Arabidopsis thaliana: one gene and its partners. The protein of the gene in region 1 interacts with the protein of each later gene in a biochemical or structural test. Each region holds a gene or a part of one and is shown in the gene's direction. Other genes may lie near its edges.

The links.
Region 2: of the proteins of ACR4 (region 1) and CRR2, one has a biochemical effect on the other in vitro, tested with the Arabidopsis thaliana proteins (one study listed by BioGRID).
Region 3: of the proteins of ACR4 (region 1) and CRR3, one has a biochemical effect on the other in vitro, tested with the Arabidopsis thaliana proteins (one study listed by BioGRID).
Region 4: the proteins of ACR4 (region 1) and WOX5 form a complex in vitro, tested with the Arabidopsis thaliana proteins (one study listed by BioGRID).

What each region holds. Positions count from the first base shown.
Region 1 is NC_003070.9:25,955,931-25,960,965, forward strand, and holds ACR4 (ACT domain repeat 4), read left to right. Parts: upstream 1-1,636; 5' UTR 1,637-1,912; coding exon 1,913-1,916; exon of another isoform or gene 1,917-2,257; coding exon 2,258-2,330; intron 2,331-2,426; coding exon 2,427-2,472; intron 2,473-2,569; coding exon 2,570-2,684; intron 2,685-2,776; coding exon 2,777-2,844; intron 2,845-2,926; coding exon 2,927-3,529; intron 3,530-3,609; coding exon 3,610-3,714; intron 3,715-3,795; coding exon 3,796-4,149; 3' UTR 4,150-4,471; downstream 4,472-5,035. UniProt on the Arabidopsis thaliana protein: May bind amino acids.
Region 2 is NC_003074.8:17,231,180-17,235,870, reverse strand, and holds CRR2 (Tetratricopeptide repeat (TPR)-like superfamily protein), read left to right. Parts: upstream 1-1,825; 5' UTR 1,826-1,922; coding exon 1,923-3,896; 3' UTR 3,897-4,190; downstream 4,191-4,691. Other genes in the region: AT3G46800 (Cysteine/Histidine-rich C1 domain family protein), read left to right, coding at 1-1,377. UniProt on the Arabidopsis thaliana protein: Required for the intergenic processing between chloroplast rsp7 and ndhB transcripts. Necessary for chloroplast NADH dehydrogenase-like (NDH) complex-dependent cyclic electron transport around PSI (CET).
Region 3 is NC_003071.7:264,846-268,447, forward strand, and holds CRR3 (chlororespiratory reduction 3), read left to right. Parts: upstream 1-1,713; 5' UTR 1,714-1,829; coding exon 1,830-2,092; intron 2,093-2,189; coding exon 2,190-2,326; intron 2,327-2,409; coding exon 2,410-2,534; 3' UTR 2,535-2,634; coding exon of another isoform or gene 2,635-2,638; 3' UTR 2,639-3,081; downstream 3,082-3,602. Other genes in the region: AT2G01580 (uncharacterized protein), read right to left, coding at 336-911. UniProt on the Arabidopsis thaliana protein: Probable subunit of the chloroplast NAD(P)H dehydrogenase (NDH) complex of the photosynthetic electron transport chain. Required for both formation and activity of NDH. May function in assembly or stabilization of the NDH complex.
Region 4 is NC_003074.8:3,525,556-3,529,003, forward strand, and holds WOX5 (WUSCHEL related homeobox 5), read left to right. Parts: upstream 1-1,724; 5' UTR 1,725-2,050; coding exon 2,051-2,354; intron 2,355-2,463; coding exon 2,464-2,708; 3' UTR 2,709-2,885; downstream 2,886-3,448. Other genes in the region: MEE34 (Mov34/MPN/PAD-1 family protein), read left to right, coding at 3,434-3,448. UniProt on the Arabidopsis thaliana protein: Transcription factor, which may be involved in the specification and maintenance of the stem cells (QC cells) in the root apical meristem (RAM).

The sequences.
Region 1 (5,035 bases):
AACACATTAAAAATGACATCCTGGAAAAAATTATATTAAATTTGAAATCTCTACATATTTTTGTGAAATATTTTGAAAATCATGCCAATATATATATGATTATATTCATTCAGTCATGGTGGATCATCATTTTGTACACCAAAACACATTCCCCATTTTCTTAAAAGAAAACTTCTATATATATATATATATATATATACAAATACTACTATTAGATGTGAATATGTAGAAATATTTGAGTCCCATGCGAACTTTACGTAAATATGTTGGGAAACGATTATATATATATAACTCACTTTTCTTATAGAAATAGATAGAACACAAATAGTGTGTGTAAAACTCACACATAATTAAATTCCATAGTGTTTTCGGTTGTTGAAAAACATGGAAAATGCCGAGGAGGTCTCGAATCTGATGTATTTATTTATCAATAATTTGGTAATGTGAAATAATAAACCAAAAAAAATAAAAACAAATCTTTAATGTTGGGAAAGAGATGTGAATGAAGGTACGGTCAATATATAGACAATGGTACGTAAAGCGAAGAGTACATTGCCACCCTGTAAACTCTGTATGCTCTATGTTTTCACGCTATTGATTTTCGCTTTTCCTCTGTCTCTCAACATTTATGTGTTCCATCGGTTAATTCTTGAATCTCGATTGTATTTAATTCCGACAGAATCTTAAAAACAAAACTATTTGATCGTAACACCATTTACGTTTTTCTTCTTCTTTCTTTATTAACAACATGTAATATAACGAGGATTTAAAATCAATGTTAGTGTGTGACTCAACAAATATCTTGGTCCATCAGTTACGTTTTTTTAATTACTCGATTTAATTGGATCATTTAAAGTAATCATCAACGTTTAACAAAAACACAAAATATGGTCCATTTAATACTATTGTATATTTTTGGCTTCTTTTCTCGGTCTCTTGTAAATTCTAATATAAGGAAAACAAACGTTGGACAATAATTTTGATACGGTACAATTATTCCATATGGTCGCTCTTTAAAAACACCCATTTGCAGTTATCTTTTTTCCTGATTTGAAATGGAAATAGACATATATAATATATATATATATATTCCTTTTGGAGCAAAAGTTAGGAAATAAATATATATTCTTCAGAGATTTTATGGCACATTGTATATATCTTAATAATATTCCATAGAATCAATACGGGTCATGAATCTCTCTTCACGATGGAATATATATGATTTATTAAGATGGAATCATGGAATCATATCATTTCTTTTTCACACTAATAAGGAAATTATCATATATATCAGAATCTCTACATTACACGATCCAATCTCAAAAGAATAATATATAATCGGCTTAAAATTCGAAACAGTAATTAAAAAATTTTCACATCTTCTACTCCGAGAAATTTGGGTTACAGATTAGAAGAGACCTTGTCATAATTACTACCCAGTAATTTTATTTAATTACCATCACGTGGTTAAACAAAGATATGTAGCATGCTAACTTATCCGCGCATTTTAGCTATTTTCCACTTAAAACATACTACTGTTTACTAACATACGCTGAGAGTTACAGTTCACACATCTTTTCTCTTCCTTCTTCTTCACTGTATATTAAGAACAATAAGCAATATCAGTTTTTTTTTTCCTCTGATCGAAGCCGCGGGAAAGTTATAATAATATAAAGATATTTTTCGTGAGAGTTGCTCGTTTATGGGAGAATCGTGTCAGATTAATTTCTATTTTTGTTGGTTTAATTTTCCATTTTTAATTTAATAATTTTAAGGAAATATTATTAGAGTGAAAGGAAAAAAAAAAAGATCTTGTGGGTCGCCATTATATATGCAGGTCTTTCTCCAACCTTTTGCTCCTTCTCTCTCAAGTGTCAAGAATCAAACAGTGGCTTAAACCCAAAAAAGGAACATGGGTATGTCTCTTTTTTCTTTCTTTCTTTTTTCTCATTGTTGATTCTTCTTCATACGATTTTTGGGTAAGATATTTCATTATTGGTTATGGGGTTTTCAGTATTTGGTAGTTGCAGGTTAAAGTTTTTGTTTTTCTTCTTCTTCTTGTGGTTTTTTTCTCTGTTAAGCTCTTTTAGAAATTTACCTAGGATTTGATGTCAGTGGTATCTCTCTGTTTATTGGTATTTACAAGAATACAGAGAGAAAGAAGAGATTATTATTCATGGGTTTTGTTCTGATTTTTGAAAGTTTCTGTCTTTGAAACTCACTGATTTTTTTATATTTGGGAATTTTTTGATTGCAGATGTTAGTATGAGTTTTTCACAAGATATGGATAATGAGTATGAGAAGCTGATAAGAAGAATGAATCCACCAAGGTATTAACTTTTTTCTTTCTCCTTCCTTTTTGTTATTATAACTACTTTTAATAGTGTGATATGATTTTGGATAAAAACCTCTGTTTTATTTTCCAGGGTTGTGATTGATAATGACTCTTGCAAGAAGGCAACTGTGATAAGGGTACACTTATAATTTTGGTTTATGTCTATATATCTTGTTTATTCATTTATGTAGACTTGTCCTGAATTTTTTGTTTTGTCTTCTTGATGTTGTTTAGGTGGATAGTGCAAATGAATATGGGATTCTTCTTGAAGTTGTACAAATCCTTACTGATCTTAACCTTACTATCACTAAGGCGTACATATCTTCTGATGGTGGTTGGTTTATGGATGGTATGTTCCGATTGTTAAATTTTCTTTTTTTTTGGATTCTCTTTACTTTAGAACAAGGGATTGATTCTCTTATTCTCTCTGCTACTTGGCAGTATTTAATGTCACTGATCAAGATGGTAACAAAGTCACTGATGAAGTTGTTCTAGACTATATCCAAAAGGTGAGTGTTTTTTTGTTAAACTTGTTATCTTCTTCTTATGTGTGAGTGAGAGTTTAATGAGTGTGTTGTGTTTAATTCTCAGTCTCTTGGGCCTGAAGCTTGTTTCTCCACTTCCATGAGATCAGTTGGTGTCATACCATCAACAGACAGCACGGTTATTGAGTTAACTGGATGTGACAGACCAGGTCTGCTGTCTGAACTGTCAGCTGTTTTGACCCATCTCAAATGCAGTGTCCTCAACGCTGAGATTTGGACACACAACACCAGAGCAGCTGCTGTGATGCAGGTCACAGATGACTTAACCGGGTGTGGCATTTCTGATCCAGAGAGGTTGTCTCGGATCAAGAACCTTCTCAGAAATGTGCTTAAGGGAAGCAACACACCAAGGGAAGCTAAAACCGTAGTGTCTCATGGGGAGGTCCACACGGATAGGAGGCTTCATCAGATGATGTTTGAGGATAGAGACTATGAACACCGTTTGGTGGATGATGATTCCTCTATCCAAGATGAAAGGCAAAGACCAGATGTTTGTGTTGATAATTGGCTCGATAAGGATTACTCTGTGGTCACAGTTAGATGTAAAGACAGACCAAAGCTTCTGTTCGACACAGTCTGCACTTTGACTGATATGCAGTATGTGGTTTTCCATGGAAGTGTTGATACTGAGGGCACCGAGGCGTTTCAGGTAAAGAAATATCCCATTACCATAGAGCAGAGAGTTTCCTTGAATCCATTTACTTATCGGTCTTTGTCTTTGCTTTGCAGGAGTATTATGTGAGACATATAGATGGATCCCCTGTGAAATCAGAGGCAGAGAAGCAAAGAGTCATACAATGTCTTGAAGCAGCTATCAAAAGAAGAGTATCTGAGGTAAATGATCCAGTAATATATAGTGTCTGGTATATACTCTTTCTGTAACTGTCACTGAGAGATCATTGTTTGATGTTTTAGGGATTGAAGTTGGAACTGTGCACGACGGATAGAGTAGGCTTATTGTCAAACGTGACTCGCATATTCCGTGAAAACAGCCTAACGGTCACAAGAGCTGAAGTGAAAACCAAAGGAGGCAAAGCTCTAAACACATTCTATGTCAGTGATGCATCTGGTTACTCAATCGATGCTAAGACCATAGATTCCATAAGACAAACCATAGGCCAAACTATTCTCAAAGTCAAGAACAACCCTCAAGAACAACAACAAAGACAGAAATCGCCTTCTCACGAATCACCGACAAGATTTCTCTTTGGGGGTCTCTTCAAGTCGAAATCTTTTGTCAACTTTGGCTTGGTCCGTTCCTACTCTTGAAGAACAACTTCACTTAGCTGTGAGGTTTCAATCTCATCTAGGTTTTAACTGCTTTAAACTTGAGAAGAATCTGTAAATCTATCGCCAGATATAATCTTAAATTCTTGGTCTAGGATCCAACTTTGGGTAGGGAAAAAAAGACAAAAGAGTTTTAGTTGATGTCATGACTAAGTGTTAAGTGTTAACCTACTCTTCTTGTATATATATCAAATCCTCATTATCTTCTTCTTCAGATTATTATGTCAAATTAAAATTTCCATGACTTGAAACAAAATAACTACAAAAGACATAATTATACTTCATAATTTAGTGATTTATGGGAAGAAATATGATTGAATGATTCCAAACAAACCTCCTAAATTTACACCAAAAAATTATTGGCTTATGATATCGAAAGAAAGACTCTAGCAAATTAAGAGACACCATTTCAAAGATTTTTTTTTGTGAATGAATGTAAAATTAATTCAACCAAAAAAATGTTTTCCATTAAATGTAACTTTTTCTAAAATCTTAAGCTGAAAATAATAGATATAGAGTCTTTAAGAATTTTCTTGAGCCAAACCAAATACATAGCCCAAGTGGAGAATGGATGAACATTACACATAATTGCAACAGATTTTTCATAGTAAATTTGTATAAAGAAATATAATCTATAGCATGTAACAAAAATGAACATGTGAGGGGGGGTGTAGATATTGTCACCACCGAACACTTTATGGGGCGTGAATACTGAAACTATGTCGATGACAATGTGTGTATGATAGATTCTCGAGTCACATGTTGAGACCAACAAAGTGATACACCTCCCCACCACCACACACCGCCCATTTAGTTTTCCACATTCATTGATAAATGTTACATATTTTTTGGCTTTTCAATTTGAAAT
Region 2 (4,691 bases), on another chromosome or scaffold:
AACTATGATCGAGTTTACCACTGCGATGTTTGTAATGTCACCATTTGCAAGGATTACTGTATGGCGAAACCACCGCCAGTTTCTGTTGTGAGTCCTACGACCCATGAGCATCAACTCCACCTTGTTCCAAGACTAGTCAATTTTACTTGCAACGCTTGTGGGACGGCTGGTGATCGAAGTCCTTATTTTTGTCTTCAATGCAATTTCATGATCCATCGAGCTTGTATTGATTTACCCCGCGTGATAAATATCAATCGTCATAATCATCGCATCTCTTACACTAGTCTTCTTGGACACGGGAATTGGACATGTGGAGTTTGTCGTAAGAAAGTAGATGGGTTTTATGGGGCTTATTCTTGCTCGAAATGTCCTAGCTATGCTGTTCATGCAAGATGCGCGACGAGAAAGGATGTATGGTACAAAGTTGAACTAGAAGGAACACCGGAAGAGGAGGAAATTGCGCCATTCGAGGTGGTCGATGAGAATCTGATCAAGCACTTCATCCATGGCCATAATTTAAGACTCAACAAGGATGGTAACCACGAAAGCAAATTTTGTGAAGCATGTGCCTCCAAAATCAATAACGATCCGTTTTATGGTTGTGAGCAATGCGACTTTATTCTACATGAAACATGTGCTAGTCTGCCTAGAAAGATAAGGCATGTATCCAACAATAAACCTTTAATTCTATCGACAGATACATATTTGAAAGATTCTCCACGCCAAAGAAGACATTGTTCTGCTTGTTTCCAGAATTTCAGCGGTTTTAGGTACGAAACTCAGTCTCGTAATTTGTTTGGTTCCGCTACTCTAGATGTTCGTTGTAGTTCGATATATGAACCATTTCTCCATGAAAGCCATCCACATCCTTTATACTTCAGTCTTGAGGGGGATACAAAATGTTCTGCATGTGACATCACATATAGCGCCAGGGATATGTTGTGTTGTGATGAGTGTGAATTTCGGTTGGACTTCCGCTGCGCTACTTTACCTAGAAAGGTAATGAATCAGAGGTACGACGATCATCCTCTCTACTTGTCTTACGGTGAAAATAAGGAAGATGGTCAACTTTGGTGTGAGGTATGTGAAACAAAAGTAGATCCAAAGGAATGGTTGTATACATGTAATCTATGTGGAATCATTTTGCACATATCGTGTGTCGTGGGAGACTTCTCATATCACGTACCAGGACACATTTCATCGAACAAAATCGCAAATGGAGTAGTGGTACCCAACACTTCTATTTGTAGACCCCATTGTTCTAGGTGTTCTTCAAGATGCAAGCTTCCTTATATACTTCAAATCAACGACTTTTACTTTTGTTCTAATAAGTGTTGTGGGAATACTCGCAACCCTAGGGGTCGTAATTACTACTAAACAATAGTAGTGTATCATGATACTAATAATGTACTGTTTCTATCGTTATTTTTCTTTTAAGCCAACCTCCATGAATGAAATTATGTTTTACATGAATTATATATTATATATGTTTTTAAAAATACTCTTGTATTTGATTTGATTGCATATAAATTATTTCCTCGTGAATCACCAAGGGATATAGAATCAAATAATTGTTAAATTAGCGTTACATTGGGTGATTGGAAATGGATCTCGCCAGAATACTGGTGGCCCGCAGGTGGCCGCCGTGGAAGAAAATTATTCCCGGCGCAAAAGATGCCTCGTAAACTTAGATCAGCCCAATTCAAAACTAACCAAATATGGGCCTAATTCAAGAAGGCCCATTTCTAACCACGTGATTGGCACGTGTAAACCAACCAACGGAAGTAGCAGAGAAAACTAGTGGCATCGGCAAGTAAAAAGCCCCTCTCTTTATTATCGTCGATCCAAAAAGCAGATTTGATAGAAAAGCCGCGAATTTTTATGTTTTTCTTTGGGAATTTTCCGGTAAACTCATCGGAAAAATGTTTCTGTCTCACCCTCCTCAAGTAATACAACCAACTTATCATACAGTTAACTTCTTACCTCGCTCTCCTCTGAAGCCACCGTCGTGTTCCGTTGCTTTAAACAATCCTTCAATTTCCTCCGGCGCCGGAGCTAAAATCTCTAATAATCAGCTAATTCAATCATTGTGCAAAGAGGGTAAACTTAAACAAGCGATTCGCGTCTTGTCTCAGGAATCTAGCCCAAGTCAACAGACTTACGAGCTTCTGATTCTCTGCTGCGGTCATCGGAGCTCTCTTTCTGATGCTCTACGTGTTCATCGACATATTCTGGATAATGGGTCTGATCAAGATCCTTTTTTGGCTACGAAGCTTATTGGTATGTACTCGGATTTGGGTTCTGTGGATTATGCACGGAAGGTGTTCGATAAAACGCGTAAGAGAACTATATATGTCTGGAACGCTTTGTTTCGAGCCCTTACGTTAGCAGGTCATGGAGAAGAAGTGTTGGGTTTGTATTGGAAGATGAATAGGATTGGAGTTGAGTCAGATAGGTTCACATACACTTATGTTCTCAAGGCTTGTGTTGCATCGGAATGCACGGTGAATCATCTGATGAAAGGGAAAGAGATTCATGCACATCTTACTCGACGAGGTTACAGTTCTCATGTTTACATTATGACTACGTTGGTGGACATGTATGCTAGATTTGGCTGTGTGGATTATGCCAGCTATGTGTTTGGGGGAATGCCGGTGAGGAACGTTGTTTCTTGGAGCGCTATGATCGCCTGCTATGCAAAGAACGGGAAAGCTTTTGAAGCTCTGAGGACTTTCCGTGAAATGATGAGAGAAACCAAAGATTCATCTCCGAATTCTGTGACTATGGTTAGTGTGCTTCAAGCTTGTGCTTCGCTTGCGGCTTTAGAGCAAGGGAAATTGATTCATGGGTACATACTCAGACGGGGGCTTGACTCCATATTGCCAGTGATCAGTGCTCTTGTGACGATGTATGGTAGATGCGGTAAGCTTGAAGTGGGACAAAGAGTATTTGATCGAATGCATGACCGGGATGTTGTGTCCTGGAATTCCTTGATATCAAGCTATGGCGTTCACGGGTATGGAAAAAAAGCAATTCAGATATTTGAAGAGATGCTCGCCAACGGGGCTTCCCCAACTCCCGTAACATTTGTCAGCGTTTTGGGAGCTTGCAGCCACGAGGGTCTTGTTGAAGAAGGAAAGAGACTGTTTGAAACAATGTGGAGAGACCATGGGATAAAACCACAAATCGAACATTATGCTTGTATGGTTGATCTGTTAGGTCGGGCGAATAGGTTAGACGAGGCAGCAAAGATGGTACAAGACATGAGGACTGAACCAGGGCCTAAGGTTTGGGGTTCCCTTCTTGGTTCTTGTAGAATTCACGGTAATGTTGAGCTTGCAGAGCGGGCGAGTAGAAGGCTCTTTGCGCTTGAACCAAAAAATGCAGGGAACTATGTGTTGTTGGCAGACATTTACGCGGAAGCTCAGATGTGGGATGAGGTTAAGAGAGTGAAGAAGCTTCTAGAACACAGGGGACTGCAGAAGCTGCCTGGTCGATGCTGGATGGAAGTGAGGAGGAAAATGTACTCGTTTGTCTCGGTTGATGAGTTTAACCCTCTTATGGAACAGATTCATGCTTTCTTGGTTAAGTTAGCCGAAGATATGAAGGAGAAAGGGTACATACCACAGACCAAAGGAGTTCTGTATGAGCTTGAAACAGAAGAAAAAGAGAGGATAGTGTTGGGACACAGTGAGAAACTTGCGTTGGCGTTTGGGCTGATAAATACATCGAAAGGAGAACCAATCAGAATCACGAAGAACTTGCGTTTGTGCGAGGACTGTCACTTGTTTACAAAGTTCATCTCGAAGTTTATGGAGAAAGAGATTCTAGTCAGAGATGTGAACCGGTTTCATCGATTCAAGAATGGAGTGTGTTCTTGTGGAGATTACTGGTAATGCATATGGGGACTTATACATTTGCTTGTGTGTATAATAAGCAAAGGAGAGATCTCGACTTGAGTTCTTGGACTTAGGTCAAAGAAATAACAAACAAGTTAGGCTTAGAAATTTCCTGTTATATATGCCAACGAAATCTGTTGGGTTCATTGTTACTATCATATTGTTCTTCAATAAACAAAAAAAAAGTATCTCACTTTCATTGTGCCCTCAAATTCGAAAAAGAAATTGTCTTCTTTTTTTTTGGAAAGAAAAAAAATGGAAACAAACGAATTGACATTAATTAGTTTAAACATGCAATATAAAAGAAAACACAAGAGTCTAAAAACACAAACACAAGAAAGAAAACACAAGAGTAGTCAGTTTCTGCACACGAACACAAGAAAGAGATATTAAAGATGCCAACGGCTGCGATCTTAATTCTGGCGTATTCTGCATTTGTTTGGGTTTTGATAAGCTATTGTAGCAGCCGGAACAATAATGTTTCGAAGAAGATTGCTACCAGACCAAGCGGCATAGGATTAGGAACTGGAACGATTTTCTTCATAATCTTAGCCCTAATGGCTATGATGTTCTTAAACAACAACGCTGGACGAATTCAACACGGTATCAATGAACAAGCTGATGGGATTTAGATTCTTGTAATCATCTTTTTCTTTCTCTTCATGCTTTATCTCAAAGGCGGTTTTTGATTTCTTTGTTTTAGTTTGGATTATGTATTTTAGGGATTAATAAAATATACATTCGGATGTGATCTTCTTCAAACTTGTATTAAGAATTTAATTGAGGTGAATC
Region 3 (3,602 bases), on another chromosome or scaffold:
AATGGAACGGACGGGTTCGCACCCAAAGCCCACCCAAAGCCCAAAGGGTCTCGAGAGAGCTTCAAGGAAACACTTTGCAACGATTACCTAATTTCCAAAGATTACCTGATACCTTTGGTATGATCTTTTAGTCTCTACTGATGACCTAATTATCGAGTAGACATATTATATAATTGGTTTTGCAAGAGAATGGCCTAGTTTCGCAGACTTTTACATTCTCGGTAACAATCTTATCAACCGATACATATATGTTTGCATTATGTTTTTAAACATTATCGAGTAGACATATTATATATCGCTTATTTCACAACTATTTGTTACTCTACAACTATCAATCATTTCCTGAAAGAGTAGAACACTGTGAAGATATAAACACTGAGAGCAGAAGAGACCAATACCACAAGCACCAGCACGGTATGAATCGCCAAAGCATTGCCGCAAGAGAGAAGCCCCAGACGGAGTTGTATAACATCAACAATTGACAACAGAAGAAATACACAACCCAAGATAGATCCACCAGCTGCACCAACCACACCGAAACGAAGCACATCTCTGTTGATATTCGCTTTAAACACTTCGTCCGTTTCTTTGCTGTTCAAAAGGTTGATGGCTAGCTTCATCCCTTGAGCCACAAGGGAGGAGAAGAGAAAGAAGGCAAATGAGATGACTTCAAACACAACCAGGTCACGTTCCACGTCTCGTCCTGCACTGCACTCTGTTCTGTCCGTGAGGGTGAGGTCACTTGGCTGGTCGAAGGAGATTCCGACAAAGACTGCAACCGTGAAGAGAGAATTAGCACTTACAATCCCATCGAGAGCCGTAACATGAACACTCGTGGTTGAAGTAGTTGAATGGCTGGTGTTGCTATTGCTATTTTGGTTGCTGCTCGTCTCTATGTCGGAATCTGCCATTACCAATGAATGGATCTCTCTTTCTTTCTTTTTTGGGATAGCTAAAAGCTTCTTTCTAATGGTGGATCATAATCTTCTGTTGTGTTCTTATGATTCCCTTTTGAATATGATTTGGTAATGTTGTTTAAGAGTGGGTGGTGTTTGGTTTAGAACGATTAGCCTTTTGGAAAACGATAGCTCTATGTTAATTGATAATTTAATCTTTTTCAAGTCTTGGAAGGTACACACACCTTTCTCCTTTTGTTATGAAAGAAAATGGTTTCTTCTAGTAACCAAAATTTTGAACTTTATTCACATGTAAAACAACACAATCTTGTAGCAAATTTACACGTTAAATTTAAAACGGTGTTGCGTATTTGAAGAGACAATATCCTAAACGTTATCATATTAATATTATTTTTGTTATTTTTCCGTCAAACACCATTTTTATTAAGTTATCGAAAAGATACTATCCGTTAGAGAAAACTATTAAGGAACCGACGTGCTTACATGAGAGAAAATAACATTTTCAGTTTTAACTTTTTTGGCTAAAAGGTCTACTCGAGTGTTAAATTTTTGAGAAAAAAATCTAATACGAAAAAAAGAAAAATAAACAATAAAACACCGAAAAAGAGGCGAATTCCGCTGCAAAAGTTGGCTAATCTTTTTGGTTATCCAGAAGAGATATCAAATCGGAGCATAGTACTATTATTAACTTTGTTTTAACCTAAGCGATGTGGGATAAAAATCCTCTTAACAAAGACAAACAATCAATGACGTCATCAATCCAAAAATTGGCATGTCCTCAAGATTAAAAAGACAGTCTTAGCTGACGTGGCCTGTTCTCAAGTTTTAATTGGCTGGAGAATTCAAGAGGATGAAACATAGAAATCCTCTTTGACTAAAATATTTTAAACCACACAAGAGAAGGAGGAGGCAATGGCGGTGTTATCCACCATCTACTCCATCACCAGAGCTTCAACGCCTACTATGGCGTCTCTAACTAATGACTCACCGTCTCCACTTCCTTCTTCTTCACCGTCGAAGCTTCCCTCTCCTACTTCTCCGTCAAAGAAACCGTTAAAACTAAGACAAGTGAGCAAACAAATGGGAAGTCAAAACCAGCAACGACGAGGCAACAAGCCTTCGATAGCACAGATTGAGAGAGCTTTTGGCTCTGGATCATATCGTGATTCCGAAGGGTAATTAAAGACACTAATTACATTTTCAAAATGTGTACTTATATACAGTATCGTATATGCGCGGTTTTGATATTTGTTTTTTTTTGTCTCGTGAAAGGGAAATGGATATGAATACGGTATTCGATGAGCTTCTATTAGGCCATGCTAATAAATTCGAAAGTAAGATCGAGAAGAAGCTACGGGAGATTGGCGAAATCTTTGTAGCTCGAACAGAGCCTAAGCTTCGTTCCTCGGGTTAGTTTAGTGATTATAATCTCATACTAATCATATTCCATAGTTGCGTTGGCTTAGACACATCTACTTCATTGATATTGCAGGGAAACCAGTTTTGATGTTTACAATTCAATGGATTCTTCCAATATGGATTATGTCACTGCTCGTAGCTTGTGGAGTTATCAAACTCCCTTTTAGCATCCCTTTCCTTGATGACTTGATCATGTGATTCTTCTACACAGTTAATACACATGTACTCTTACCATATTTCGTTAATAATACTTTTAGTGTATTAGTGTAATACCATACCTCAAACAAACTCATCACAGATAAGTCTCTAGGGAAAGAATGCTTGTTATTGGTGAGATATACTTTTCAGCTCACGGTGCACTCGATATGGAAGGAACGGAATGGTCGTCGACATGGAGAAGTACCTATTCATATCTCCCAGTTAACTCGCGAACTCGACAAGCAAACCCGAAACAGAATCTTTTCTATTCGAGAGCTAGGTGATAGAAGATATGAAGATTCTATGGCAATCTGGTTTGGTTCAAAATAATCTAGACATCTTCTTAATTCTTGCTCAAACACAAGCTGCACTTGATGTAAAACAGTTTTTTTTTTCCGAATGATTTTACATAATATTCCAAAAAAAAAGTAATATACCATACCTTACCTATATAAAAATCAGTGGCCAATTTACGTAGTTAGTGTTAGGTGGCCAAACAATTCTGAATTCTCACTCTCAACATCTGTATTTTTTTTAATATCTAAAAGTTCAAATCTACATTTTCTAGAGGCGAGATCCACACATAAAGATTCCTCCCGACGGGCGTCGAACCTAATACTTCCACCTCTAAAATTTATCATTGGACCAACACAAAGTTGGTTCAAAATCTATATTATCCACAACATTTTAAAATTCTTTGCTTAGTAAAGTAGAGAAGAAATAATCGTCATCTTTATTTAAAATTGATGACTGTAGTATAAGCAATTAAGCATCTCTTGACTACATTATTGAAATATACTCCCTAATATACACATGGCTTTGTGATTTTATTATAGAAAAAAGTGCTCTATAATAGATGATAATCCAGAGGAGCATATTCGATTCTAATTAGGTCCATTACTGTCAGATTTTCCAGAGATATATATCATTACCGTTTATGCTTTTGCGTGACCTTTAATTATGAATCACATTGAGTAAAATAAAACATTATTATTATGAATCCGATTTCTCTTTGATCAATTATTATTCAAATTCTACCTTGTCTAAATTATTATTATTTTCGTTAGT
Region 4 (3,448 bases), on another chromosome or scaffold:
ATCCAATACGAGAGTTTTGATATCTCAAATCCACGACATGCTATCTTTAACTTTTTAATGTACAACTCACAACTGTTTTATCATCCAGTACCAGTAATTGATGACTAATTGGGTGCTGGGTGCATGCCACTTTTTTCTATATATCTAACAAATCTAAGTCATAAAGTTTCTCTAAACCGAATTAAATCCAAAAATCTACTTATTTAGTTAGACTCGAGAGTAGGTAATGAGATATTCTGTAAGAAATTTGTAATTAAACAAAGATGTTATGTAAATTAACTGGGATGATTCCAAGTAACATAAGCCACGTGAACTTTGACTTTGACACCGAATTGATCAATTTTAAAAACAAGATGCAGTTTATATGCGAGAGAGACAAAGATATTTGTAAGTACTGTTATGTTGTCTAGTGAAGAGTACTTTGTTTATAAAAACAATGTTTGGTTTTATTCACATTGTCATTTTATTATTTGGACCATTTTCGTCTTGCTTAGCATCCCGTGCATGTCTCATCTAAATCCTCACTATTAAGACATTTTAACGCACACTACATGAATATTATAAGTTTTTCCTTTCTATTTCTGCTGGTGTCATACGTACTGTTCATATAGACATCAATAAGTTTCTTGTACAAACAACTAGACTATGCAAAATTATAAGAGCTGGATTGTATATTGTTAAAACTGAGGCATGTATGAGTTGTACGCTTAAAAGTGAAATATTTTTTCGGTCGCAGGTTATATACTAGAATGCAGTTAGATTTTAACTAAGAAATAAATTTTTGACCAAAGCATTTACAGTATAATGCATGATTTATGTTACTATTGCTGCTGTCTCATTTTCAGATTTCAAAAATCAGATCTAATTGACGTGATAGCATATAGAGGCTAGTAAAACACTATGAGTTTATACTTTTATTGATGGTTAAAATTATTTTTACATCTTGCAGTCATCTTTCAACCATTCTTCATTCTAGAAGGAGTTCTTGGTGACTTAATAAATGGCTTTTTACAAATATTTTGGTGTAGGACTTATATTATACATGTGTGTGGCGAACCTTCTGGTTCTATCTATTAAATGCCTTTTCTTTTTGTAGTTTTTTATGATTCAGAATTCAGATATTTGATTTTGTAATATTATATTTTCTTATAAAAGAGAATAAAATTTCAAATTTCCTGTCTACACTTGCCGACCAACGTTCCTCAAGTGTCACATCTTCTGTGCAAGAGAGACAAAACTACAATCTGTTCACACAATGTCATGATGTTTATAATTAATCTTATCATCTTCATTCATATCAAACTAATATCGGCCATCCATCCGTCTCAATAATGTAATTGCATACAATCTTTGTTTAGGACTTGCTAGCTATTTCAACTTATTATTGATTACAGATTAGATCTACAATTTGTAAAGAACTTCTAACTTCAAAACAAATACAAAAAAAAGAAAGTGAATGTAAAATTTCTAGTGTCATAATTTGGAATAGTTGAAGCATTGAAGTTACAATATCGAACGTTAAAATATTGACACTAGATAGTACATTACCACCAAGGCTTTCTGATTATTCTTATCATGTTATATGAATAGTAAGAAATTACGTAGAACGCAATTTAAGTGTGTGCGAGTCACCACAAATTAAAGGAGAACAAATTCAATGTTTCAATCGCTGGTTCCGATATACAACTTATGCATGCCATGGCATGAATGCGAGATCCAATTATATACTAATATATACACACAAAAACATATGTAAATATAGATGGAACAGAAGCCTAGATAGGTTAGGATAAAGAAAACGATCAAATCTGCAAAGATCAGTCTCTCCCAAATCCCCAAAAAAAACAAAGCATGCATTTCGTAATAAACAACTCATCATAAAACGACACATAACTCGAAAACCTCTCCTCCCGACATTTCATCAATTCATTTCTCTTTTTATTTTCGAAAAGATGAAAACTTAATAAATTATTATGAACAATCTTACTATATATATGGATATATACACAGGCCCTAAAACGTAAAACAGTTGAGGACTTTACATCTGAACATGTCTTTCTCCGTGAAAGGTCGAAGCTTACGTGGCAACAATAACGGAGGAACGGGGACGAAGTGCGGGAGATGGAATCCAACGGTGGAGCAGTTGAAGATATTGACTGATCTGTTTCGAGCCGGTCTTAGAACTCCAACAACTGATCAGATTCAGAAGATCTCTACGGAGCTCAGTTTCTACGGCAAGATAGAGAGCAAGAATGTTTTCTATTGGTTTCAGAATCATAAGGCTAGGGAGAGGCAGAAACGTCGTAAAATCTCCATTGATTTTGATCATCATCATCATCAACCATCAACTAGAGGTAGTCTCTTTATATATATATATATATATATATATATATATAATTATATATCATTATTGTTTTATATGATATTTCTATATATTTAATGGATAATAGTGTGTTATTATAGATGTTTTTGAAATAAGCGAAGAAGATTGTCAAGAGGAAGAGAAGGTGATAGAGACATTACAACTCTTTCCGGTGAATTCATTTGAAGACTCCAACTCCAAGGTGGACAAAATGAGAGCTAGAGGCAATAACCAGTACCGTGAATATATTCGAGAGACCACCACGACGTCGTTTTCTCCATACTCATCATGTGGAGCTGAAATGGAACATCCACCGCCATTAGATCTTCGATTAAGCTTTCTTTAAGTCATTGACCACAATAACAAAAGAAAAAAAACAGATGCTTTAGCCTTTAAAATGTTGTTGTATTTTGAATTATGACATATTATCCGATGCATGGTTTATGAGATATTTTCCAATGCATGGTTTATCAAAAAGTTGTCTCATTTTGTTTGATATAAGAATCTATGTTATGGAATGCGTATATGTATATCATCATATAACTAAGGTTGTGATTTGTTAATGTATTTTTCTATATTTTTTAAAAATAATTTAAGAAAGACATCATTAACGAATAGTTCTATTTGCATCACAGAAATACTAGAAATATCAGATAAACTTAAAACTTAAAAGATGTTAAAAAAACAAACTTAAAACTTATCTCTATCAATTTACAAAATTTACATCATCTCGAAATACTTAAGTCTTGATCAACAACCATTAGACCAAAAAACTTGCACAATCTTATCAGAATAAAACCAACTCTTTTAAACGAACAGATTAATATCCTTAATATTATTTTACCCAGACCCATTGTCTTTTAGGCCCATATAATTGGGCTTTATAATACAGAGAAGGCCCAAACTTTGGTTAAACCCATAGTGCCTAGAGAAGATTAATTAAAGGGGTTTTCCTGGAGAAGAAGCAAACTCAAGTTCCGTCGGAGATAAAACGGAATCAAAAGTTGAGGTTTTGATCATTCCCGGAGAAAGAAATTTAGAATTACTCAAGCGAATTTGATTAACCCAACAATGGATGTTATAAAG